Linked DNA regions of Cricetulus griseus. The protein of the gene in region 2 purifies or fractionates together with the protein of the main gene of each other region. This does not show direct contact. Links are inferred from orthologs where the notes say so. Each region holds a gene or a part of one and is shown on either strand. Other genes may lie near its edges.

Region 1 (12,446 bases), on a different chromosome or scaffold from region 2:
GAGCTATTTTAAAAACAGGATTTTCTCTTGGTTCTCAATTTAACTGTTAGAACCAAATTACATTAACAGGGTACCATGGAATCTCTGTTTGTTAAGATGAACCAAATTCAACCAAAACCAGGACATATTAAATAAACATGAAAAAGGGGAGGAGCATTGGAGACACAGGTGTAACAAGAAGTCTTTCTGCCCGGCCGCGCAAGTTCTGTCACGTTATGGTCCCAAGTAACACAGAGAGAGTTACATTAGGTACAAATGCTGCTTGGCCAATGACTAGGATTCTCATCTGCTAGCTCAGTCTTAATTATCATAAATCTATATATTTTATAAAACTTATCAGACACTTTTTGCTGGCGCCCTCTGTTGCCGGCGACTCCAGAGCAGAGACCAGGAGGAAGAGCGGGGGGGGGGGGGGTGACTTCCTTCTTGCTCTTGCTTATATTTGAGTGTCCCTGCTATGGCACTTCCTGCCTGGATAACAACGCTTCTTTACTACATTTCCCCAAATCCTCCTTCACTCCTAGTCCCGCATAAGTTCCTCCTCATTGGCCAAACAGTACTTTACTTATCGTCCAATAAGACGGACACACACACAGAAGCACTTCCCCATCATCTTCTCTTCTGACTAAACAAAAAGAAGGGTAACTTATCTCTTATAATAACTGAAGAAAACTATAACCATAACTATCTGTCTTCAACTCTATCAAAGACCACAGAAGGATAATATATAAACTCTAGAATTGACAGAGACATCACTACCTGGACAGTCACCCAAAGTTCCTCTGTAACGTTGGGGCATCCATCCTCAGCCCATAGGCCACAGTGTGTCTGGCACACTTCTCCATTTCAACAGGAACCCTTCAGGACTGACTGTTCATCTTGTTTTGTAAGTTCAGCAGTCACTTTCTTGTGGGTCCTGCATGTCCATTTTATACAGCAACAAACAGTCCAGGCAAGAGCAGTTTCTTGCCCAAACGGCTAATCTTGCCATGTTGAAGGCAAACTCCATAAGGAGTTTCTTCGATGCCCATCCTCCTTTGTGACGTAATTGGTGTGTCAGGAGCAGCTGTGTCTTGATTATTGGTAGAGAAGGACATGACTTAAAGCATTTAAAAATGGCCCTTAAAGGGGACAAGGACTTAAACAGTCCATGAATACTATCTGCTGAAGCAGAAAAAGAGTTACAATGGGTGGAAAGCAGAATACTGGATGCACACGTGGATCTAGCAGACCCTAATCTAGACTGAATTCCGGTCACTTTACAATCCAGAGAATACCCTTCTGGAATTCTGATGCAGAGAGAAGATATTATATTGGAGTGGATATTCCTGCCACATAAACAGAATAAAAAGCTAAAGACATATATAGAAAAGATTTCTGATTTGATTCTAAAGGGCAAATTAAAGACTTCGTCAACTGCCTGGAAAAGATCCAGCAGAAATTATAAACCTTTAACTAATGAAGAAATTTCCTCCTTGTGGAAGGACAATGAATACTGGCAGATAGCTCTTATTGACTTTTTGGGAACGATCGGCAACAACTATGCCAAAACTGACAGAATTAAATTCATAAAAAAGACAGTCTGGATTCTTTCACATATTATAAAAAAACTCCTACTTCTGGAGTCCTTACCTTCTACACTGATACCAACAAATCAGGTAAGGCAGGTTAAAAATCAGGAGAGGTAAGTAAAATAGTTCAAAGTCCATATACATCTGTACAGAAGGCAGAATTATATGCAATTCTCATAGTACTTGTGGATTTTACAGAACCTCTTAATATAGTTACTAATTCTCAATATGCAGAAAGAGGCATTTTACACATTGAGACTGCAGATTTCGTTCCTGATAATACAGAATTAACTTCTCTGTTTTTACAATTACAGGAAACAATCAGAAACAGAAGTAATCCTCTATACATTACACATATCAGATCCCATACGGGTCTGCCAGGCCCACTAGCACAAGGCAATGATGAGATTGATCATTTATTGATTGGCACTGTGCTAGAAGCCTCAGAATTTCATAAGAAACATCATGTAAATAGCAAAGGTTTGAAAAAGGACTTCTCTTTCACTTGGCAACAAGCCAAGGAGAAACTGTCCTGCTTGTTCCTTTTATAACCAAACTCCACTGCCAGCAGGCTGTAATCCTAAGGGCATTCGGAGAAATGAGGTTTGGCAGATGGATGTCTTTCACTTTACAGAGTTTGGAAATTTGAAATATGTGCATCATACTATAGACACATTCTCAGGGTTCCAATGGGCTACTGCTTTTAACTCTGAAAAAGCTGATTCTGTTATTACACACCTGCTAGAGGTGATGGCAGTTATGGGTATACCTGCACAAATAAAAACTGACAATGCTCCAGCATATGTCTCTACAAAATTGGAACAATTTTTCAAATATTATAACATAAAGCATGTTACTGGTATACCACACAATCCTACAGGACAAGCAGTGGTTGAGAGATCTAATAGAACACTTAAGGAGATGCTCAACAAACAAGCTTGGAAGACTAAACCCCCCAAACATAGGTTGCATAATGCTTTATTAACACTAAACTTTCTTAATGCCAATGAGAAAGGACAAACAGCTGCAGAAAGACACTGGACTATGGAAAAAACTGCAGAACTGAATCAGCCGGTATACTTCAAAGATGTACTAATCTCTGTATGGAAACCAGGACATGTGTTACGTTGGGGAAGGGGTTTCGCCTTTGTTTCCACAGGAGAAGAAAAATTTGGATACCATCAAAGTTAATCAAAATTCGAGTCAAAAACGAAAAACCTCTCAATGAGGAAGAATGACAGGTAACATACCAAGGTGTATCTCATAAACTGTATAGAAACCTCCCAAAGGAAAGGGTTTTTCTTTTATCTTCACAGGAAAACTCATCTCCTGAAGGCAAAGGACACTGCATGGGTAGATACTTAAGAAGAAAAGGTAGCTATAACCATCAAACAAAAGTGTAGGGAGCCAGTTCCTGCATTATCCATTACAATAATGGTGCCTGAAGACACCAAGATGTAAATTACTTCACAGGCGCTGGGTTTCTCTTTATTTCCTAGTCCCTATTCAATTAAACCAATGCTGGCTTTAGAGGTGGATTTGGCTTTCCTCCTCTAAATCCAAGCACTTTGTTAAACTTCAGAGTTTCTGTACTATATCAAGAAGTCAATTGATGTAATACAGAATAGAGGAAAGATCAGGGACTGTCATTTGTCTTTTCTTGGCCTTTTTCTCTCAAGGTGTACATCCTTTCATAATTCTTATTTTCCCATGGTTGCCTTTCCCGGTATGCATACATATACAAGCAAATATTTCTCTGCTAACATTTATTTTTGAGTCCCACACAGCCAATGAAGACCTGTTGACAGCAACCCCTGGATGCTCCAGAAAGAAAATGGGCCACACCTCCTCAATTGCACTGGATCCATCTTACTTATTTCAGCTGACACTCTGGCCAGAACTTCGGGTACTGACTTCAATCAACACAAGAACTTCAATAGAGACAAGGACTTCAACCTGGACCTTCAATCAGGCACCTCCCACCAAACATGGACTGGATATAACACATTCAGGACTTTCATTACACTAACATTTCTTCCCACAGGACCCCACGGGGTTGTCACTGTCATCCCAGTTCAGCAGGAAGTAGCATGGAGAACACTGCATCCCCTTTCCCCACTGTTTACACCTAGTCTGCTATTATTTAAGGCTGGGTTTGGAAGGAGGTGTTCAAGCTTGGACATCTCTTTCGGATGACTTTAAGGTTTAGTTGGGATAGTTATAGTTAAGATGTGACATTAGTAGATTATTATAACCTCATGTAATTTACCCTTATGATTGTTTATAATAGATAATTTACACTGTTAAGTTTTAATCCTCTTTTAGACTAAAAGGGGAATTATAGGGGAAATGTCAGCCATGCCCTCTTGGGTGCTGACACAGGTAACGCAGAGCACGCACACTAGGGTATGGTCAGTGATGTAGCAAGACCTTAAATATGAGGGTCGCACTCAGGCGGCTCTCTCTGTTCCATGGTTCACCTTGTTTAGAGGACTGACTGGTTTCGTGAGTACTTTTAAAACATGTGCTCGTCAAACTTGGTCGACTTCTTTGAGGTACACATTATTTGTGCCCCACTTTACACAGGTGTCCCGGGGGATCAGCAGCTGGACAATGGTCCCCAAGACTCAGGGGATGTCTGAAACTCAAGGTACAAATCTCATACCCAAGCTCTCTGCCATAAAAACTCATCTCATAGTCAAGGCAGCTGCCAACAGGCAGGAAAAGCTCACAGTGTGATAGACTAGGGATGAGGTGTGACTCATGCCCCTGGTCAGATGCAGTGAGTGGTACAAGATTATCATGCTACTTAGAGCAGTGCTCAATTTGTACCATGTAACTTGTCAAATTCCCGTCCAATATCTTTGGACCATGGCTGACCACAGGCAACAGAAGCCACAGAAAGGAGACCCTGAAAACAGTATCATGTGCACAACTTCCCATTATTTATCAGGACAGATAGTACAGGAGGAACAGCACGAAGTCTGGCAGGGGTATTGAAAAGCTCCATTTTTGAAAATGTAAGAATAACTTGTATAATATTAAAACTTGATTCCTAGAAAACACTTGGAATAGAGGTCTGAGGTTGAGAAAGAAGGAGGTTCAAGTTATGTCGACAAATTTTTAAGCTTGTCATGAGCAGCTTTAATAATAGGATATCTGAGGAAAAATACGTTCTATAGACACCTTGAAGCTCATGCATAGTTTCTCTACAGTTGTGAACATCTGATACAGGGCTAAACTGTTAATGTCATAACGAACCAACTGGGCAGTGACAAAGGTCTGCAGTACTCATGTGTGTCCACAGACAGGTCTTGTCCTGCTCTGCCAGCTATAAAATGAAAAGCAATTCTCTTCTTTACAGGTATTGTGAGAAAATTCAAAACCGTGTGAAACGGAACTGGAAGCATAGCCGCCATACTTTAGTACATGGTTTTACTGGCATCTTAAATAAGACTATGGTAGCTATGAAAGACCTAGTCCCAAGTAGAATGTGAAGAAGCTCTCTGGACAGGATGTGCCCTACCAACAACACCGAACAAGGGAACTACGTGGGGCACGAACCCCACTCAACTACGCCAATTTTAATCATGGGTGCAATGCAATAAACCTTACAAGGGATAAAGTACGGCAGAAACAGGGATCTGAAGCAGAAACGACCTCAACAACTTGCTCTCAAGTTCGCAAAGACGGTTTTCCAACAGCACTACCTACGGTGCTAAGCAAAGAACGAGTTACTGTCTTTAACGTGAATCCACGTATATGATCTAAGTGGCGCTTATCTGACTTTCTGGCAAAACTCGTAACTGGAGTAAGAGAAGAAAGGAAGCGAGCGCATCGTGCCTCGGGTCACAAACTCTAAGTAAGGTGCCTGTGCCGTTCCGCCCGGTCTCAGCACAGGCGTGCGAGGCAGCCGCTGACTGTTTTCAAACGTGTGCCTGGCAGCCGAGCCTCGCTCGACGCTCGCACACCCCCCTGCATTGAAATGCGTGGGCGTCTGACGGCGGGGAATTCCGGGCTGCGCTTCCAGCTGGGCGAGCTTCACCCGGCCGCTCCTGCCTGGGGACCCCGGGCGGCGCTGGCCTAGCGGCTCCCGCGGGGTGAGGCGGGCGGGGGTCGGCAGGATGGGGAGCCCCCGGCGGGGAGCGGAGGGCACACAAACACCCAAGCCGGCCCCGGGCCCCGATCCAGCCTTCTTCCGACACCAAGCTCCCGGTCGCTCGGCTCCGGGTTTCGGGTTTCCGCTTTCCTCCGCCCGCCCCGCTCGCCCGCCGAGCTACTCACGTCCTTCTTCACTTCAGTGAGGTCCTCCTCGGTTAGGGACGGCGCAGGAGCCTCCATGGCCAGGGCCGGGATGGCGTCCTTCCGGCCCGCGCCGCGCCGCCCCGCCCAGGCTGAAGCCTCCGGTCTCCGGGACGCAGGCCACCGGTGACTCTGGGGGACCAGGACCAGATCCGGGGGAACCGCCGGCCGGCTCCCGGAACGCGGAGGTGCGGAATCTCAGCGCCCCACTTCCGGCTCCGCCCCTGAGGCCTGCGGAGCCTCGCTCGCCACGCCCCCTCCCCGTCCCTAGGCTGGAAGGCCTAGCTCAGGCTCCACCCTCCAGGGGCGGGTCTACCGTCAGCCCCCGCCCCCAATAGGGCCAGCCAATCAGTGCTAGCCCGCGGTTCTCGCTCCTTCTTCCGGAGTGGCTTCGCCGACAGGGGCCGCCTCTCTAGCCACGCCCAGGATCTATTTGCATAAGGTTGCGGATTGGTCTGCCGAGAAGGACTCGTTTCCGTGGGCGGGGCCGTGGCCGCTCAGTTTAGCGGGATCTCCCCGCCCTCGCAGACTCCGCATTTGGGTGGAGCGTGGGCCGAGTCCGCCGTCAGGTCCTCTGCTTTGCTTCTCTTTTCCAGATGTTGCGCAACGATTTCCTGTTGTTGTGCTGCTGCTCCAGGTTTTATGATTGCTCGATCGTGCACAAACGCTTACAGGTGTGCAAAGCATACACGCGCACATAATATAACTTCAGTATTGAAATGTTTGAGGGCCTGGTCCGGGCCCGCTGACACCCACAACTAGGGAGACTGGAGGAGCACGAGGATCGTGAGACCAGAAAACAAATCAAAATAACAACAACAAAGTAAACAAGTAAATAACGAAAAAAGGTGTTAACTTTAAAAACATCACCTGCAGTCCCACTATTTTAGCACCTAAAGCAATGTTTGGAGTACTTTTAAGTCACTGTTAGGAACGTATCCCCTTACTAACCTAGCAATAGAGATAGATTCTTCTAGGGCCTCCTGGAATATAGTTAAGGTTCTGAAGTTACTTGGTGCACAGTTGCACGCTCGTGTTTGTTTTTATCCATTATCATTATTCACTAGGCAAGTGTTTTAGTCACCTTGTGATGGGGAAGTTCTCTTATCGGAGACCAGATGGCTATTCCCAGGATGGTATTCTAACTGTAGCAGCGTGTGCAAACCATAGGACATAGTGGACCAGGAGCTCCAGATAGAGTGCTACGCCAAATAGGATTATGTGTGGGTATTTAACATGTTACAAGCTCATAAATGCTAAGAGGAAAAATAGAGAAGGGAAGTAGGAAGGGTGATGGTGCAGACTCACTGAGAGAAGGGATAAATTTCCCACCTTCAGGAAGTGAGGCAGGAGCCCTGTGGACAGATGGAGAAAGATCTCTAGGAGTGGAGTGCCCCACCAGTGAGCAGACTCCGTGTGACAGGGAGATGAACTCTGTGTGTATAATCTGACTTTGCTCTGAGTCATGCAGGTTTACTCTGACTCAGAAGGGACGCCATGGAGACTTCAGAGCAGAGGAGTGACAGGTGCCGTCTATGATTTGAGGGTCTCTTTCACTGTTCTAGGAGGGGAGACAAGCTGGGCGGCTCCGGTCTGATGTAAACCCCAGGAGGTAGCGGTTGGGCTAGGTGGGCGGTGCTAAGTGGGAGCTGTGAGAGACAACGCCTGGAAGAGAAGGGGCGGGGAGATTGGATTTTGTTTTGAAAGGCTCACAGTAGCTATCAAAAAGAATAGACTGGAGAAGGGTGAGAAAGAGAAACAGCTCCAAGCTTTATTCTCCCTCCACCCAGTACCATTGTGAACACTCTTCACCGTCACTTTTGGTCATGAAAAATTGTCAACAGTTTTCCTTTTTTCTTCCTTTGCAATCAGGTCTATATTGTTCAGGCAAGTGTTGAAGTGGTTTCAGGCCGTCCTCCGACCTGAGCCTTGTGTATGATCGTATCCTGTAGTTCTCAGTCCTCGGTTTCTAACGCATTCTCTTCCTCCATTAGGAAACTTATTTCCCCTTTTCTACTAAATCACAGGGCAAGACTATAATTGCCTCAAACAAACATGCCTGGCCATTCTTTGCAATAAGTACCTCTTCCCAACCCTGGGAACCAACCTACATTGCCATCTCAACTTGTAAGTGTACGCATGTCCTACTCTGAAACCGGAGATACCTGATCCTGTTCTGTAGATGTGATTTGGAAGCTGCAAACACAGGGCACTGAGATAATAGTCCATGATGCTGGGACAGTTTCTCAGAATGTCTCCTCGTGGTTAAGGGACACAACACATGAATGTATTTTCAAATAGGATCACGTTCTGAGGTTCCAGTTGATGTGAATTTTGGGGAGATGCTGACATGTGTTCTGAGAACAATTAGTAGAAATCAATTAGGGAATTTTTCTAGGGCTGTAGGGGGAGGAAGAATATATCATTTACAAGTGGTAAGATGTAAGACAAACAACATCTTAAAAGCAAAGCTTTAAGCTGAGTGGCAGGATTTTATCAGTGGAGCCTTAACAACTTAATGATTTATCCTGAACTTCCTGTTGGATATAAGATACTGTACTGAACAACACATTTAATTCCAGGTGATTGTGAGCTAGAAGTTTCTTGTAAATAGAAAATGAAAGTGACTATCTCTGAGATATATAGATATTCCTGGGTGTTAATGGCAAAATAATGTGTGGGGAAAATCCCCTGTCCCAGCATGGGGACTTTGTGAAGGAGACCCGGGAGGTGCCATGTGGTGAAAATGAATGAACTTCCACAATGTTATCCTGACAACTGCCTCTAGGGAGACTTACTATCTTCCCTTGACAGCTGGGGAATCTAAGGTTTAGAAAACATGATTTGCTTAAGGCCATTCTCCCAGCAGGTAGCAGAATCCGGATTTCTACTCATCTCTGATACCGAGACCGGTGTTCTCATCACCAGTGGTGCACCGACTGACTGTCAGGACACAATCATTCAGGAAGGCTGCTTGAGCAGATGCTGGAGCAAGGCAAAAGTGTGTAATGTCCTCAGGTCTATTGTCTAGGCAGGCTAGGAAAGGTTGTCATGTGGTTGTCTGACTTCCTAAGAGACAATGAGCGACTTTAGACTGGCTGGGAAAGGAGCTGTAGGCCCCTTAGCGGGTTCCCAGCTGACTCTGACTGGATCACCCTGCAGACTGTAGGGCCCCTTAACGGGTTCCCAGCTGACTCTGACTGGATCACCCTGCAGACTGTAGGGCCCCTTAACGGGTTCCCAGCTGAGTCTGACTGGATCACCCTGCAGACTGTTGAGGTAGAAGGGGCCAGAAGTGAGCTCAGGGCTTAGGAAGGTAATAGATGGAACTGGACACACAGGGCATTGGCACTGTGACGAGGAGGCCACAGCTTAAACTGTAACAGTACTTTATTCCTTTTCTGTGGGCAACTCGTATTCCAAGCATGGATAGGCCACGTCTTATTTATGTCACTCTGGGGACATTTGGATTCATTCTGCATATTTTGACAGCCATGAATGAGTATTGTGGACACACACATAAAGTTGTGTGAGCATATGCTTTCATTTCTTTTGGGGACAGCCTTAAGAGTGGAATTTCTGGGTCATGTGCTAACCATACTTAGCCTTTTAAGTGGCAGTGGCAGTTTCAGAACTTCTCAGTTGGTTCTGATATTGAACTGGTACCTGGAACCAGTGACATCAACAGAGTTGTGAAACTAGGGATCCATCCTAACAACTCTGGGGAGACACTCGCAGAGTCCTCCATAAGCAGCAGGGGTCTGTGTAGAGGAGGAAGGTGGCTTCGAAGCTGATTTCTGGCTGCTTCTAAGATATGAAGGATTATTGAGCCCAGGCAGCCAAAGTGTCTTAGTGCCCACACTGTTCCCAGTTTTGCTTGCGTTCACATTTACACCAGTGGCTTGGTCACGGGTAAACACTGGAAACGAGGGTTTTCAAACTTTTGTGTGTATGTGTGTATTTGTATGTCTGTGGCTCCATATTACACGTGTGCATCCATGCATCTGGGGCCAGAGGGAAATCTTTGGCATCACATTCTCTCTCTCTCTCTCTCTCTCTCTCTCTCTCTCTCTCTCTCTCTCTCGTGTGGGGTGTGTGTGTGTGTCATAGTTCATGTGTTAAAGTTGGAGGGCAAACAGTGAAATTGGTTCTTTCCATCCGCCGTGTGGGTTCTGGGATGGAAAGCCAGCCCGGCATGGCAGCAAGTGCCTTTACCTTTGAGTCATCTTGTTGGCCCCACCTTGTCTTTGGAGACAAATTCTGTGATGACTGTGATGACTAATACTTAGTGTCAGCCTGGCAGAATCTAGAATTGTAACCCTCTGTGCGCACCTGAGAAGAATTCTGTGGATTAGGTTAGCCTCTGGGCCTGCCTGTGACAGATTATCCTGATTAGGTTAATCGGGGCAGGAAAATCTGCCCTGGCTTTAGCAGCACCATTCCTTGGGCTGCAGCCCTGGGCTGAACAAAAAGGACAAAGGGAACTGGGCACTGATGCTCACCTCCCTCTGGTCTCTACTATGGATGGATGCTTCCAGGTCATTCCGCCATGACTTCCTCCCCATGTTGTATATATCCTGGAACTATGAGCTAAGTAAGCTCTTCCTTACTGACTGACGTTGCGTTCACTGGGGATTTTATCATAGCAACAGAAGATCTCTCACTAGCATAGGCTAGGCTAGCTGGTCAGTGAGCCCCAGGAACCCAACTGTCTCCACCTTCCCAGCACTAGAGTTACCAAACTGGCTTCTTACAAGGGTGCTGGAAATTGAACTTGGACCCTTATGTTTTCTGGGCAAGCGCTGTGTGACTCAGCCATCCCTGCAGGCCTCCAATTTCCCCCCTAATTATAGAACCCCCTCTTCAATAAAGTCCTCATGGAAGCTTAAAGATAAAACAGAAAAGATGGAAGTGATCCACATGTCACCGAGGAGAGGCTGGGCCTGTAGAAGTTTTCTTTCTTGCATGCCTACCCTTGCCTTTCTACCTTTGAGCACCTCAGAACAAAACATGGCTTACAAACATTGCTTATGCAAAAGGGCATTTTCTCTAACTTGTGATAATGCAAAGTGGAGAACGTAAAGTAATTGAAAGGACAGGCCCAAAGCTAAAATGAGTTGTAGTAGAGAGCAGCAAAAAGGGAGTGAAATGCAGTGAGAACTAGAGTGCTTTGTAGTGGGTTCCCTCAAGAAGTGGTGTTTTCTTCACACCAGACACACACACACACACACACACACACACACACACAGAGAGAGAGAGAGAGAGAGAGAGAGAGAGAGAGAGAATGGGGGAGAGGGAGAAGGAGAGAGAGAGGGAGGGATGGGGGTTGAGATAAGGTAAATCAAAAGAAAATGGAATGTCTGGCCTAATGGTTTTGACAGTGCTTGCAGCTCCAAGCCTTTGAACTCATCTTGTCAGAGCCACTTGTACTCAGAAAACTGTACAAAATGGCAGAGGCTTGGCCTCAAGAGTACAAAGCTGCTATTTCTCTCTTTATCTTAGCCTGGTACCATATGAGAGAACAGGGTAAGAGCTTGCCTATTTGACTACTGTCCACTCTACTTTTCCGCTAGACCATAGCCTCAGTAAGGCCAGCTCCTTCTCTACCTTTCCACCGATGCTGAAACAGTGTCTGGCATGTTGATAAATGAATGCTGAGTAACCAAACAGAAAGATGTTCTTTTTGAAATCTATATTTATTTATTTCGGGAGGTCTGAAAGGTTCAGACATTAAGCTGGCCTGCCCCTGTTACCTAGCGGAACAGGCAGTACCCTGGTCAGCCCAGGGTTCCATGGGAACTAAGTCTGCACGCAGGTGCAGAGGACCCCTTTAAAAGACAGATCTCTGCCCATTTACGCTCTCTCTACTCTTTATGGCGGTCAGCCATTAACCATGTTCCTCTTTTCTTAGTCTCCCTATTCTACTGGGCCTATAATAAACTGGTTACTATGTCTAATATGTCTCATCCTATTTCTCATCTTGTGCCTCCTCCTCTTCTTTATCTTTAATTTAAACAAAATTCTAACAAGTTCCTGGGGGTGGAACTTAAGGTTTCTCTCATACTAGGCAATCACTGTATCTCTGAGCCAAATCTCCAGACCTTTTCATACTCTTCTATTTTAAAACAAAGTCTCTATAAATTACCTAGGCTGGTCTTGAACTACTCTGTAGCCCAGGCTCATCTTGAACTCAAATTGACCCTCCTGCTTCAGCTCCCTGGCCAGCTAGGATACAGGGCTGTGCTAGAAGGTTCAGCTGAGAAAGATATTCTGGACCCGTCGGCATCAAAGTGCTTTCCCCATACTCCATGGCTCTGCTGAGCTGCCATGGTGACCCACCACAAAGAGGTGTAGAGAATTCAGTGTTCTGAAAGTCTTCTGGTCTTAGAGCTAACACACTTGTACCCACCAATCCCTCAACCCCTCCTCCACCCTGAGCTCTCTCCTCCATCTGGACCCCACTCTTCCACTCTGGGTTCCTTCCACCCTGGACTACAACCTAGGCTCCCTCCTCCATCCTGGACTCCCTCCTCCACCCTGGGCCCCCTCCTCTACCCTGGGCCCCCTCTTCTA
Region 2 (12,556 bases):
GAGACCAGCTGGTCTACAAGAGCTAGTTCCAGGACAGCCTCCAAAGGCACAGAGAAACCCTGTCTTGAAAAACCAAAAAAAAAAAAAAAAAAAAAAAAAAAAAAAGACAAAAGTTACAGGATTACATCAGTAGGTATGAGTTGGTTTTTGATTGGTTGACATTTGGGGAACAATCAAGAAATTTCTCAATGTCATACTTTGACATGAAATACCTATGTACCAATTATTCCCATTGGTCAGTGCTGAGAGGGAACATCCTGTGGTCTCTATGGCTTTGTCTTGTTACTTGCAGGTGGTCTGTTGTTCACAGATACCAATAGTTTTCAGAACTGTATCGTGGAGATTATAGGGGAGGTTTTGGTCTCCCCTGGAGTGTCTTTTGTGGCCAAATAGTTCCCAGGAACCAAGTACCTAGGAGGCTGGGAGGTGGATGGGCAGTATGGAGTTTCTTTGTGTTCGGTTTTGGCCTTAGGCTCTGGGAGGCCAGAGGATCTGTAGTTTTCTTGTGCTAGAGGCCTACATGTCTTTTCTATAGCCTGTCATGGATGCTATTCAGGGACTTAATGAGAGTCTGGTCCCTTTATTTCTAAATTATTAGAAGTGAAGCCTTTGAGTTTAGTTTTCCCCTTTCAAAGCAAGGTTTCCTGACCTGGGATAGCCATGTCCTTGCCAATATGGGGGACTGTTGGTTCCAACAGTTGGCCTGTCACAAGGGAGATATGTTCATCTGATTTTGCTCCTGCAAAATTCAGTCAGGGCCTCAGGGTGTCATACAGTTGGTAGAATACTTGCCTAGTGTGATGGTTGGCTTTAAACGCCAACTTGGCATCATCTGTAACTACCTGAGAAGAGAGCTTTTCAGTGGAGAAATTATTTCATCAGGCTGGCCTGTGAGCACGCCTACAAGAGGGATCGTCTTGATCACTAATGTCCAAAGCCCCGGCTGGTAATTGGCAGCACCATTCTGCAGGCATGGGGTTCTGAATACAGCAAGATAAAAGAAAGCTCGAAGAGCTGGTGGGTGGCATGAGGGCATTCGTCTCTCTCTGTTCCAGACTGTAGATGTGACATGTCAGTGGCTTAAGTTGCTGCTTTAACTTCCCCTGAGTGATGGACTGTGATCTGGAATTGTGAGCCAAATAAATTCTTCTTTGACTGAGTTGCTTTTTATCAGGGTATTTTATCACAGCAAAAAAAAAAAAAAAAAAATGACACTAGAACCCCTGGCATGCACAAAGCCCTGGGTGCAATCGCCAGCACTGCATATATTGAGCATGGCAGTACACCCCAGCATTCAGGACCAAAGACAGGAAGATCAGAAATTCAAAGCTATCCTTAGCTACTTAGCCAGTGGGAGACCCCTAGGATATATGATATAGGTGATCCTGCCCACCGCCCCCAGGAAAATTCACCTTCAGTTTGAATATCTATTACAAGCTTATTAGCACTACTGTCCCCCAAGGTTAGGGATGAGCAAAGATGTAACTCAGGCCACATCTACTCATTATACTTGAGGCTCTAACTTGAGCAGTAAATAAAGAAAACGAAAAGGGACACACATCAAAAAGGAAGAAATAAGTGGACATGGTGGCTCATACCTATGATGCCATCACTCAGATTACAGGTTCAAGGCCAGGCATGCTACAGAAGACTTTCTCAAAAAGTGAACAACAATTAAACAAACAGCAGAAGGATAGCTTTGAAATTTAAACAGTCACATAGTACACCTAAGCCACTAGAGAACACAAGACCATGTGCTTAACATTGTTACCACCATCAGCTAAGAGCCAGAGCGGGAGGCAGCTCCCCTCTGTCTGTTGAGCTGAAACTGCTAACCATGCAAAGTTACGGAAATCCTTCTTCAACCTTGCTGGTGGTAATTCAAAACAGTATAAACTAAAACTTTGGGCATGTGTGTTGTTTGTTTTTCTTTTGAGATGGCATCCCACCTTCTTAGCAAAGGATCGAACTAAGAAACTGAAATTGCCTGTGCAGGAGAATATATAACTGGACAGTGGTGTACAGGGAAGGGGATGCTGGGAGATAATGAAAAGGACAAGGCATTAGTTACCTTTCTCATTGCTGTGACTAAATACATGCAAAGAAGCAATGCAAGGGAGAAGGTTAATTCTGGCTCATGGTTTGATAGGATACAGTCTCCCATGAATGGGAAGGCACGGGGGCGGAGTGTAAGGCTGCTGGTCACATTGTATTCATAATCAGGAAGCAGGAAAAGGAATGGCAGTATCCAGCTGGCTTCCTCTCCCCCATCCCCCTCTTTTTAGTCAGTCTAGGACCCAAATCCAAGGTGTGTCTCCTAGGTAGTTTCAAATCCAATCAAGTTGGCAATAAAGACTAACCATCGCAGACACCGATGAAACTGAAAACTGTATTGACTGGCAGAAGCGAGTGTGTGAACACATATCAATAGTTCCAGTCCTAAGAAGTTCAAGAACAGACAAATCTGTGGCTTGTGGAGGGCTGAGGGGCAGTTTGGTACTGACCAGAGAAGCACACAGAGGGAGGGCTGCAGGGCAATGTGTTACCAACTGAGGATTCAGAGGTTATAGAAAATGTCCTGCTCTTAATCTGGTTGCTGGCTATCTGAATGCACATGGCTGCTAAAAAATCCACAAAACTGTCCAGGCATGGAGGCTCAGGCCTAAAAACCAGTACTGGAGAGGCTGAGGCAGAAAAATTGCCACAAGTTTAAGGGCAGCCTTGGCTACATAGTGAATTCCAGGCTACAGAATAAGACTCCATCTCACAAAAATCAAAACAATCCATGGATCTGGGATGACAGTCGAACTCCAGGGGTAGAATGCTTGCCCAGCAAATGGGAGTCCCTGGATTATGAAATCCTAGTACCACACAAACCAGGCATGGTAGTGTACCCTATAGTCCCAGAACTTAAGAGGAGGGAGCAGGAAGATCAAAGATTCAAGGCCAGTCTGGACTACACAACACCCTCTACTGAAAACAAACAAATAAACAATCTATGGAGGTATATACTTAAAGATTCTGTACCTTAGATCAGGGAGATAGCTCATATATCATTGTCTATGACTTGATATCAAGCCTAATGACCTGAGTTCAATTCCCTGATATCCACATGATGCAAGGAGAGAACCAACCCCCCCACAAGATGTCTTCCAACTTTCACAAGTGTCTTCTGTGGCATGCATACACATGTACATACATACTAAATAGATAAATAAATTTAATACAAAAATTTTAAATCTGTGTGTTTTGATGCCAGATAAATTGTATTCCATTATAATATCTGGATAAGTTAAAGTAAGCTACAATTTATAAGGGGAAAATTTCATCATTACAGAATATTGATATTGATACTAAATAATGTTTTTTGCTCAACTGGATCTTCATGAGGACTTGGTTAAAAACCTGGTTGTATTTATCTATTTATTTATTTTTGAGACAGGGTCTCACTATATAGCTTTGTCTGGCCTGGAGCTTTCTATGTTGACTAGGCTGGCCTCAAATTCCCAGGCCTCTGTAGACTGCCTTAAGTGATGGTGTTAAAGGTTTGTCACTGTGCCTGACCCTGACTATGCACAGGACGTTGTGAACTTGTCCCTAACCCAGGAAATCCCTGTCACTTACTTTGGAACCAGGGTGGCATGGCTCCAGTTGGATTTATTCTCACTTTTGGTTCTAAGCTCTTTTCTTTCTTTCTTTTTTTTTTTTTTTTTTTTTTTTTTTTTTTTTTTTTTTTTTGAGACAGGGTTTCTCTGTATTGTTTTGGAGCCTGTCCTGGCACTTGCTCTGGAGACCAGGCTGGCCTCGAACTCACAAGAGATCCTCCTGCCTCTGCCTCCTGAGTACTGGGATTAAAGGTGTGTGCCACCAAAGCCCGGCTGGTTCTAAGTCTTAAAAATAAACCCAGCACTTGGGAGGTGGAGGCAGGTAGATCTCTGTGAGTTCAAGACCAGCCTGATCTATAGATTGAGTTCCAGGACAGGCTTCAGAGTTAGAGAGAAATCCTGTCTCAGAAAAAAAAAAGTTACGGTTGGGAAAGGTTGAACACAAGTTTTTTTAATGGTATTTTATGATGTGAAATTCTCACTTAGGAAGAAATCATGATGGCCTTTGAGGGAAAATACTTTTGTTATTTAATGAGATACTGAGGATGCATGTCAGCCTGGGTCTGCATACAAATCCCTGTCACTCTCACCTGGCTTGGTACTGATGGCAGAAGAAAACTGAGCAGAGAAAATAATGGTTATATGTCTACCTTTCTTCTTTCTTCAAATGTTTCCTTAATAACTCCTGCTTAAAAGCCTATTTAGGTCTGGCAAGATGGCTCAGCATCTGTTCTTGCAGGGGACCCTAATTATGTTCCCAGCTTCTATAACTTCAGCTCCAAGGCATCTGCTGATCCTTCTGGCCTATGTAAGCTTGGCACTACCATGAATACACACACCCATACACATAATTCAAGGATAAATTAATAGTATCTTTAGATGGCTATTTTGTGAGCAATCACACTTGGGGAATCTTTAGGAGAACATTGAGAATGGAGAAAACCCAGAGGATTGGTTGCTTCAATTTGTTAATCAAGATACTAAGCACTTAGTATGTGCAAGCATTCTGCTGATGCTAGAGTAAAACATCAAGTAAAAGACATACTGTCCCTGCCCATATGCAAGTTAGAGTTTATCCAGAAAATAATTAACTTTAATTCTTATCGATTTCAAGGCATAGGCTACCTCTTGTCCAGGCTGAGTTCATTATGTAACCTCGGTGGTCTTTGAGGTCACAGCTGTCTTCTGCTCCAGCTTCTCAAGTTCTGGGTCACAGGCCTGGTGCCACACCTTATTTAATAACTTAAAAGAAAAAAAAAAAAAGGCCAGCAATAAAATTGCAAGAGAGACTGACCACATGACTCTGCCCTCAAAAGGAGGCTCAAAGGTAGATGGACATCTATCTCCATGTTATCAACAAACCTAGTGTCTCAGGTGGACTTCCAGTTGGAACTGTGTTGTCAGAGCCAGACAAACTCACCTGCCTGCCGCTCAGCCTGAGCAGAGTCCACAATACCGCATCCATCCTATTCCTCAAATGACCAGGGCAGGTCTCTCTTCCTTCGAGAAAAGTTGCTTAAGTTTGCTGCTAACCCACTGAAAATGGAAGGAGACAGACTAGTTAGACTAAAAGAGCAAAAGTTTTTCCTAGAGCACTGATACAGTTAATCGTCATCCCTTGTAAGAGAAAATGCTAAAGGCAGGGATTTTGTTTTTCTACATCTATTCATCCTGTTTATAAAACGAAGAACAGCAAGGCAAAACCACACACACACACACACACACACACACACACACACACACACACACAAGAAAAACACCTACTAAAACTGATCAAAGCAACAGGGTTTTTTTTTTGTTTTTTTAAACTTAAAGAAAGTGTTTATAGCTGGGCGGTGGTGCACGCCTTTAACCCTAGCACTTGGGAGGCAGAGGAAGGTGGATCTTTGAGTTCAAGGCCAGTCTGGTCTACAGAGCGAGTTACAGGAGTCAGGACTACACAGAGAAACCCTGTCTCGAAACCCACCCACCAAAGTACGTACGTATGTATGTATGTGCGGGTGTTTTGCCTCATGCCTGCGCGCATGCATGTGCAGGGCCGGTGGAGGCCAGGAGGGGGGAACTGAAATTTCAGGTGGCTGTGAGCCGCCTTGTGGATGTTGGGAACAGAAGTCCAGCCCTCAGGAAGAACAGCAAGTGCTTTTAGCTGCTTAGCAGTCTTCAGGCCCTCAAACAAACCTTCCAAATACAAGAACCAACGTGGTTCTAACCTCTTTAAAACAAAGTCTCACTATGTCCCTCAGGCTGACCGGGAGTCACAGAGATCCTCCTGCAGTTCTGGTTATTATCTTTAAAACAATAAAAATAACCACGAGGCGATCTACATGGCGTTTTAAAAATGTTCCTCTCATCTCCTTCTTTTTTGTCCAAAACAAAAAGTGAAAATAACCAGAGAGACTTTTACAGCGTTAAAGGGTTTTTTTCCCCTAACGTCAAATATGCTTTTTTTTTTTTTCTTTCTTTCTTTCTTTCTATTCGGCAGTTGTAGACTGGAAAGTTGTGACCTTTTTTTTTTTTTTTTTCTCTGTGAAGAACTTGGGGGCTGAAGCGGGGGCAGGGCCTCTTCCAGGCAGGCCAGCCCAGAGGCTGCACATCTGTTTTCAAGTGAGCTGGCTACCATGAAGTACAAACTGTCAGGAAACGCCTCGGGGACGAGCCGAGCCCAGGAAGTCACGGAAATCCCCGGCCGGCCGCCTGCCACCGAATGAGAAGGAAGTGGTGTGGTTTGCCCCTCGGAGTTCCCCAGCCGGGGAGGAAAGCACCGCGGGCCTGCGCGGGAGGGCGAGCCTGGGCGGGGCAGGGTGAGGCGGGTGGTGGGCGCGGTCCGCCTGGACGATTTAAAGGCGTCGTGACACTCAGCCAACCCCATAGACCGGGCGACAGGTGCCACCCCAGAGATCGGAGGTCCCTGCGGGCGTGCAGAGCCTGAGGAGCGGGCTGCGGTGAGTACGCGCGCGCGCGCGCGCGCGCGCGCGGAGAGCGAGTGAGCGTCCCTGGGGTGGCTCGAGGGTCGCCAGGGTGGCTGGATCTCAGGCCTGCAAAAAACGGCTGCTGTGCACCTCTGGTCCTGCCCACTGGCCCTGGCTGCCCAGAGGCAGCTGGGAGACTTGAGACTGTGAGAACCTGGGCTTGGGGAAGCTTGAGCATGGGAGTGGTTGTTTTCTTAGTAATCAGCCTGGAAGTACACTAGGACTCTTTCTTTTGGGGGAGGGATAGGTGTTGGAGACCACTCGCACACTATAGGTAGGTCCCAGTGGCTTTGAACTCTGGAAAATCCTCCTGCCTTAACCCCTTGAGTGACGGACTTACAGGTCTGAGTCACTGCACCCAGTTTCTCAGTAGTGCTCTTAATCTAGTCAGGAAATGGCTGTGGTCATTTCTCTGTCTACTACATGCCAGGGTCTGCCCTAAAGACTTATGTCACCAACTGTACACTTAATCACCAATTGTAAGCAGTGGGCACCGTTATTAACTCCATTCTGCAACGACAAAACTGAGGTACTTGTGGTTTTTCTGGGCTTCACTGTGTATCCCTGACTGGCCTGGAACTGTGTAAGTAGAACAGGATGGCTTTGAACTCAAGGCAACTTTGATATCTACCTGCCTCTGCTTCCGGAGTGCTGGGATTAAAGGTATGTCTGGTCTCCTGGTTGTTTCCTTTGTAAAAAGGGACTGACACCCGTCCTATGATATGTGACTTAATAAATGAAGGTGCTATGGACATGATGAGCCCTGTCAACTGTGCTAAGAAATTCAACAAGAAGTTTTGCTGCGATTAGTAGTGCAGGCCTGTAGTTGTGGTACTTGGGAGTTCAATGCCAGTCTGGGGTATATGTCTCACACGACAGTTACAAGGCTCAGTGTCTTTGCTCGGCCTGTGACTGTGGCTACTACAGAAACTAAAGTATACTTCCTCTTCTGAAGGAGAAATAGTCCAAGGTGGAGGGAGAAAGACACATTTACCCTGCAGTGTCATACAGCCACCCTTGAGGTCTACAGGAAACGGTAGAGTAAGCAGAGAAGAGACCGGGTTGCCAAGCTGACCCGCAAGGAACCACTGTGAGGGACAGAGGACTCCTACATACTGATGTGGACAGGGGCGGGGATCAGGACAGGTCTAAGAGGAAGTAGGTCCCAGTGGCAGATGGCAACACTTCCTGTGGATTTGATGTTATGAATATGGAGTGTTTGAGGGGTGCTGGCACACAGAATATCTGGTTGTGTGGAGATGTGATTCACAGGCAAATGTTCTTTAGGCTTGGTTGGGAGGACCTGACCCGGGAGAAGCTAGAATAAAAAGCGGTCTTTGAGGTGGTCTTCATTTGGAAGTTGAGAGGGACTCAGCATAAGGACTGTGGCGGGACTAGGGTTGTGCAGTGTTTGAGGAGACGTGAGGCAGAGTCTAGTCAAAGCAGTAGGAGAGAGTGGCTCCATGAGGGGGTAGTTGTTTCTCTGAGGCTGCCAAAAGGCTTGAGACCACAGGCAGGCAGGGGCTGCACCTCTTTTTGAAGAACACAGTTAACTGAGTGAATGTGGCAAAGAGAGATTGGAGGAAGGGGCCGAGGCATGGAGGTATGTTAGGATGTAAAGAAAACAAACCCTCTGTTGCTGGGAAGGTGTCTATGGAAACCAGTGTAGCATCTCAGAAAACTAAACACTGAACTGCCATATGACCCAGCTTTCCCACTCCTTGATAGGTACATGGAGGAGTTTAAGACAGCTTGGGAGAAATTCCTGACTACCCTGTGTCTTAGTCACTGTTCTGTCACTGTGAGGAGACATGACCAAGACAACTTATAAAAGAAAGCTTTCACTGGAGGCTTGCTTATGGTGTCAGAGGCCCACTCCACGATCATCATGATGGAGCATGGCAGTTTGCAGGAAGGGACGGTGCTGGAGCAGTAGCTGAGAGAGAGCTACATCCTGATCCACAAGCAGCAGGCAGAGGGAAAGCCTGGGCCTGGTGTGGGCTTTTAAAACCTCAAAGCCGACCTCTAGTGACACACCTCCTCCAATAAGGACACACCTCCTAATCTTTCCTAAACACTCCACCAACTTGGGACTAAACAGTCAGATATATGAGCGTATGGGGGCCATTCTCATTCAACCCCCCACACTGTTTATTGTATCACTATTCACAACGGGACAGATTGAATGCCTGTTAACAGATAAACGGATGAAGAAAATGTGTTTGTGTGTGTGTACACTGGAGTACTATTCAATTGTAAAGAGAAAGGTATAAGCCCTTCATTAGTAATTCTAATAAAGACAATTAGAATCTGAGTTGGTGGCTCATGCCTGTAACCTCAGAACTCAGGAGGTTCAGGCAGCATACTACTGTTTGAGGCTAGTCTGGGTTACAGACTGAGTACCAAGCTAGCCCTAGCTGTAGCATATCTGTCTAAGACAAAACAAAAAAGGCACGTGAGAAGAGTAAAGTATTATGACTCTTGAAATTACTGCAAAGAGCACTGGGGCTGGAGAGATGGCCCAGTGCAGTCAGAAATAAAAAGGAATTTCTAGTTTTGTAATTTCATTATTGTTATATAAGATGTTAATTTTGGGAAGCTGGGTGCAAAGTATATGTGACATCTGCAAGTTTTTATATATATGCTCTGGTCTGTAACTCATGAGTTCTGTGTGAGATTTCTTGGCTGACAACACCCAGTGCAGCATTGTTTTCTCAGAGTTGGGGACTGAGGTAGGAGTCTTGAGTATGCTATCTGAGTGCCCTACCACTGAGCCCCGCTGACAGCCCGAATTAGCATAGCTTCTTGCTACAGACCAGTTTCTGTTTTGTATAAAGCATCTTAAGGAAAAGATCATGGTGGCACTTGCTTATAATCCCAGGATTTGGGAAACAGACAGGAAAATCATGAGTTTGAGGCTGTCTTAGACTACACAGGGAAATCCCAGTCTCGAAAAAGAGGGAGTAGGGGGAGAAAGAAAAGAAAAAAGACATTGTATTATAAACCTGAGTTGTTTGACTTTAATTTCTCTATTTTAAACAGGTTTACAAAGGACACAAACCCTTCTACTACTTGTAGCTTTTTTTCTGTTTTTTTTTTTTCTGTAAACCAAAACATCTCAAAATGGAGGCCTAAACCCCTTAAAGGGACTTAGTCTAATCTTGGGAGGTAGTTTTGTGCATGGACAGACAAATTCAGCCCTCAGTTGACTTTCGGGACTGTTGTCTAAAGATGCTCATTTGAAGTCTGTAGTCTGATTGTCTGAGGCGTTGAGTATTATGATTTGGTTGTGAACTTGACTCTAGGAAGGGAAGGAGTTCTGTGGCTGGGCACAGTGATGAAGCACTCTTCAGAAAGTTGCCTGGCAATTTCCCACTGGCTGGCACTTTTTAAAAAGTGCCCACATTCAAGAAAGATCCAAACATGAGTGCCGGCTATCCAGAGGAAATGAGTAATCTGCTTTGCACAGTAGTACAGAAGTGTACTCATGAGGTCACTGACACATTCAAAGATTGCAACAATGACAGAGAACAAACAGGAACAAAATGTTCTCGTAGGCACAGCAGATTTAGAGGAAGTAAGACAGACACTACAAGAGAGTTGAGAAACTGTCCACCATTGGTATTTTAAAGGTCTACACAGCACAACTTTTAAATAGACTGTAAGCATGAGAGTTATTTTGGCAGATGAACTAGTTTATTCAGAAAGAAATGTCATAGAACGACCAAGTTTTCATAACCCTGTGGAGGGGACAGAGAGGTTAGACACAATGATTTCTCCTGAGAGAGACTCTTGTTGACAGCTGTGGGATTTCTCCTGCCATTTAGAGATAATGAGTTGGTGTCCTTGGTAGAGAACCTGCCATATCTGTGAACTGCAGGAAGCCACTCCAGCCAGTGGCAGCAAACCCCCATGCCTTTACACAGGATGAATTTGCTAATGGCTAGTGAGTCCTTCTATGAGAGACTCTCAATTTGAAGGTCTCTGTGTTCAGATGGTAATAGACTTGTTTGTTTTGATAAATATGTGCTCAGGGAACACACTCTGTGACATAATTTCTGAGTTTGGGTCTCAAGCCTACATTCGTGGCCCACACCATTAAATCCCAGCACTCAGAAGGCAGAGGCAGACTGATTTCTGAGTTTGGGGTTGAGGCCAGCCTGGTCTACAGAGTGAGTTCTAAAACAGCCAGGACTACATAGAGAAATCCTGTTTTGAAAAAATCAAAAAAAGAAGGAAGGAAGGAAGGGAGGGAGGGAGGGAGGGGGAGAGAGACAGAGAGAGAAAGAAATTGAGAGATTGAGACTTGCTGTAGAACTGAGTGGTACCACACAGGCTTTGTGAGCCAGAGGCCCTGGGCTCAGTCCCCAGTGCTACAGATGAACAAACTCGGTGTTCTAAGTAGTTAGTAAGTCTTGGTCCTTTGAAAGGAAACAAAAACCAAACAAAACTCTTGAAGTGGTTTATTATTTTAAAATCCTGTCTGATCCATGTTTCATTCTATATGAATACATACATAGCTTCATGAACCAGACTTTCATGTGCAGGTTGGGTGAACGCCATTAGTGCCTCCTTGTAGCAAGGAGAAGCAGGCTTGCCCCTCAAGATGCCTGGCCCAAAGTGCCCAAACACTATGTTTCCAGGATGGAATTAAGTTCTATCACACATTGGCTCTTAGGGAGAATCTAGTTTCTATTGTATGCATGAAGATTGTGCAAAGGTATGGTTGTGTGTAATTGTGCCTTAAATGTATCAGGGTAGGATTTAGACTCTCATCCTACTGAATCCTGAAATACATAGAAGAAAAAAAATGAGTTTGTTCTTATTTTAGGTGTTCAGCCTAGTAGTAAAACTGACCAAAAGCCATGCACAAAACTACCTCCCCAGAGGAAGGCTGGTCCCCTCCCCTCCCTACCGATTCGTCATGAACATGGCTCCAGACAGTGTCTTCCTGTCCAAGCTGATGAAGAGTGCCGACACCTTTGAATTGAAGTACGACTTTTCATGTGAGCTGTACCGTTTGTCCACGTACTCAGCTTTCCCCGCTGGAGTTCCTGTATCGGAAAGGAGCCTGGCTCGTGCTGGCTTTTACTACACGGGTGTCAACGACAAAGTCAAGTGCTTCTGCTGCGGCCTGATGCTGGACAACTGGAAACAAGGCGACAGTCCTGTGGAAAAGCACAGGCAGCTGTACCCCAGCTGCAGCTTTGTTCGAACTCTGAATCCAGCCGGCAGTCTGGAAACCAGCCCTCAGCCGCCTCTTCTGTCTGCAGAGCCAAGCGCCGTGCCTTCATTATTTGCAAGTTTGGAGAACACTGGTTATTTCAGTGGCTCTTATTCAAGCTTTCCCTCGGATGCTGTGAACTTCAGAGCAAATCAAGATTGCCCTACTTTGAGGACAAGTCCCTACCACTTTGCAATGAATACGGAGAAGGCCAGATTACTCACCTATCAAACGTGGCCATTGTCCTTCCTGTCACCAGCTGAGCTGGCCAGAGCCGGCTTCTACTATGTAGGACCTGGAGACAGGGTGGCCTGCTTTGCGTGTGGTGGGAAACTGAGCAACTGGGAACCGAAGGATGACGCTATGTCAGAGCATCGGAGACATTTTCCCAATTGCCCATTCTTAAAAGATCCGAGTCAATCCGCTTCAAGATACTCTGTCTCTAACCTGAGCATGCAGACACACGCAGCACGAGTTAGGACGTTCTTTAACTGGCCTCCCAGTGCTCCCGTTCATCCTCAGCAACTTGCAAGTGCCGGCTTTTATTACACAGGTGAGAACCTCAATCTGAGACTCTTAAAGATCCAACATGTGTTATGTTACACATGTGACTGAGCAAATTTTGTGTACTCACAAGTGTGCTTCAAAATGAATTTTAGGACACAGTGATGATGTCAAATGCTTTTGCTGTGATGGCGGGCTGAGATGCTGGGAGTCTGGAGATGACCCCTGGGTGGAGCACGCCAAGTGGTTTCCAA

The links.
Region 1: the proteins of baculoviral IAP repeat-containing protein 3 (region 2) and Bcl10 purify together in Homo sapiens (affinity purification with western blotting; 5 studies listed by BioGRID and IntAct, with this or other methods). This does not show direct contact. The link is inferred for Cricetulus griseus from reciprocal best matches to the Homo sapiens genes BIRC3 and BCL10.

Annotation. Positions count from the first base shown.
Region 1 is NW_023276806.1:13,247,880-13,260,325, forward strand, and holds the start of Bcl10 (B-cell lymphoma/leukemia 10), read right to left. Parts: upstream 6,094-12,446; 5' UTR 5,913-6,093; coding exon 5,856-5,912; intron 1-5,855. UniProt on the Homo sapiens protein: Plays a key role in both adaptive and innate immune signaling by bridging CARD domain-containing proteins to immune activation.
Region 2 is NC_048597.1:122,238,475-122,251,030, reverse strand, and holds the start of baculoviral IAP repeat-containing protein 3, read left to right. Parts: upstream 1-6,412; 5' UTR 6,413-6,547; intron 6,548-11,405; 5' UTR 11,406-11,498; coding exon 11,499-12,351; intron 12,352-12,457; coding exon 12,458-12,556. UniProt on the Homo sapiens protein: Multi-functional protein which regulates not only caspases and apoptosis, but also modulates inflammatory signaling and immunity, mitogenic kinase signaling and cell proliferation, as well as cell invasion and metastasis.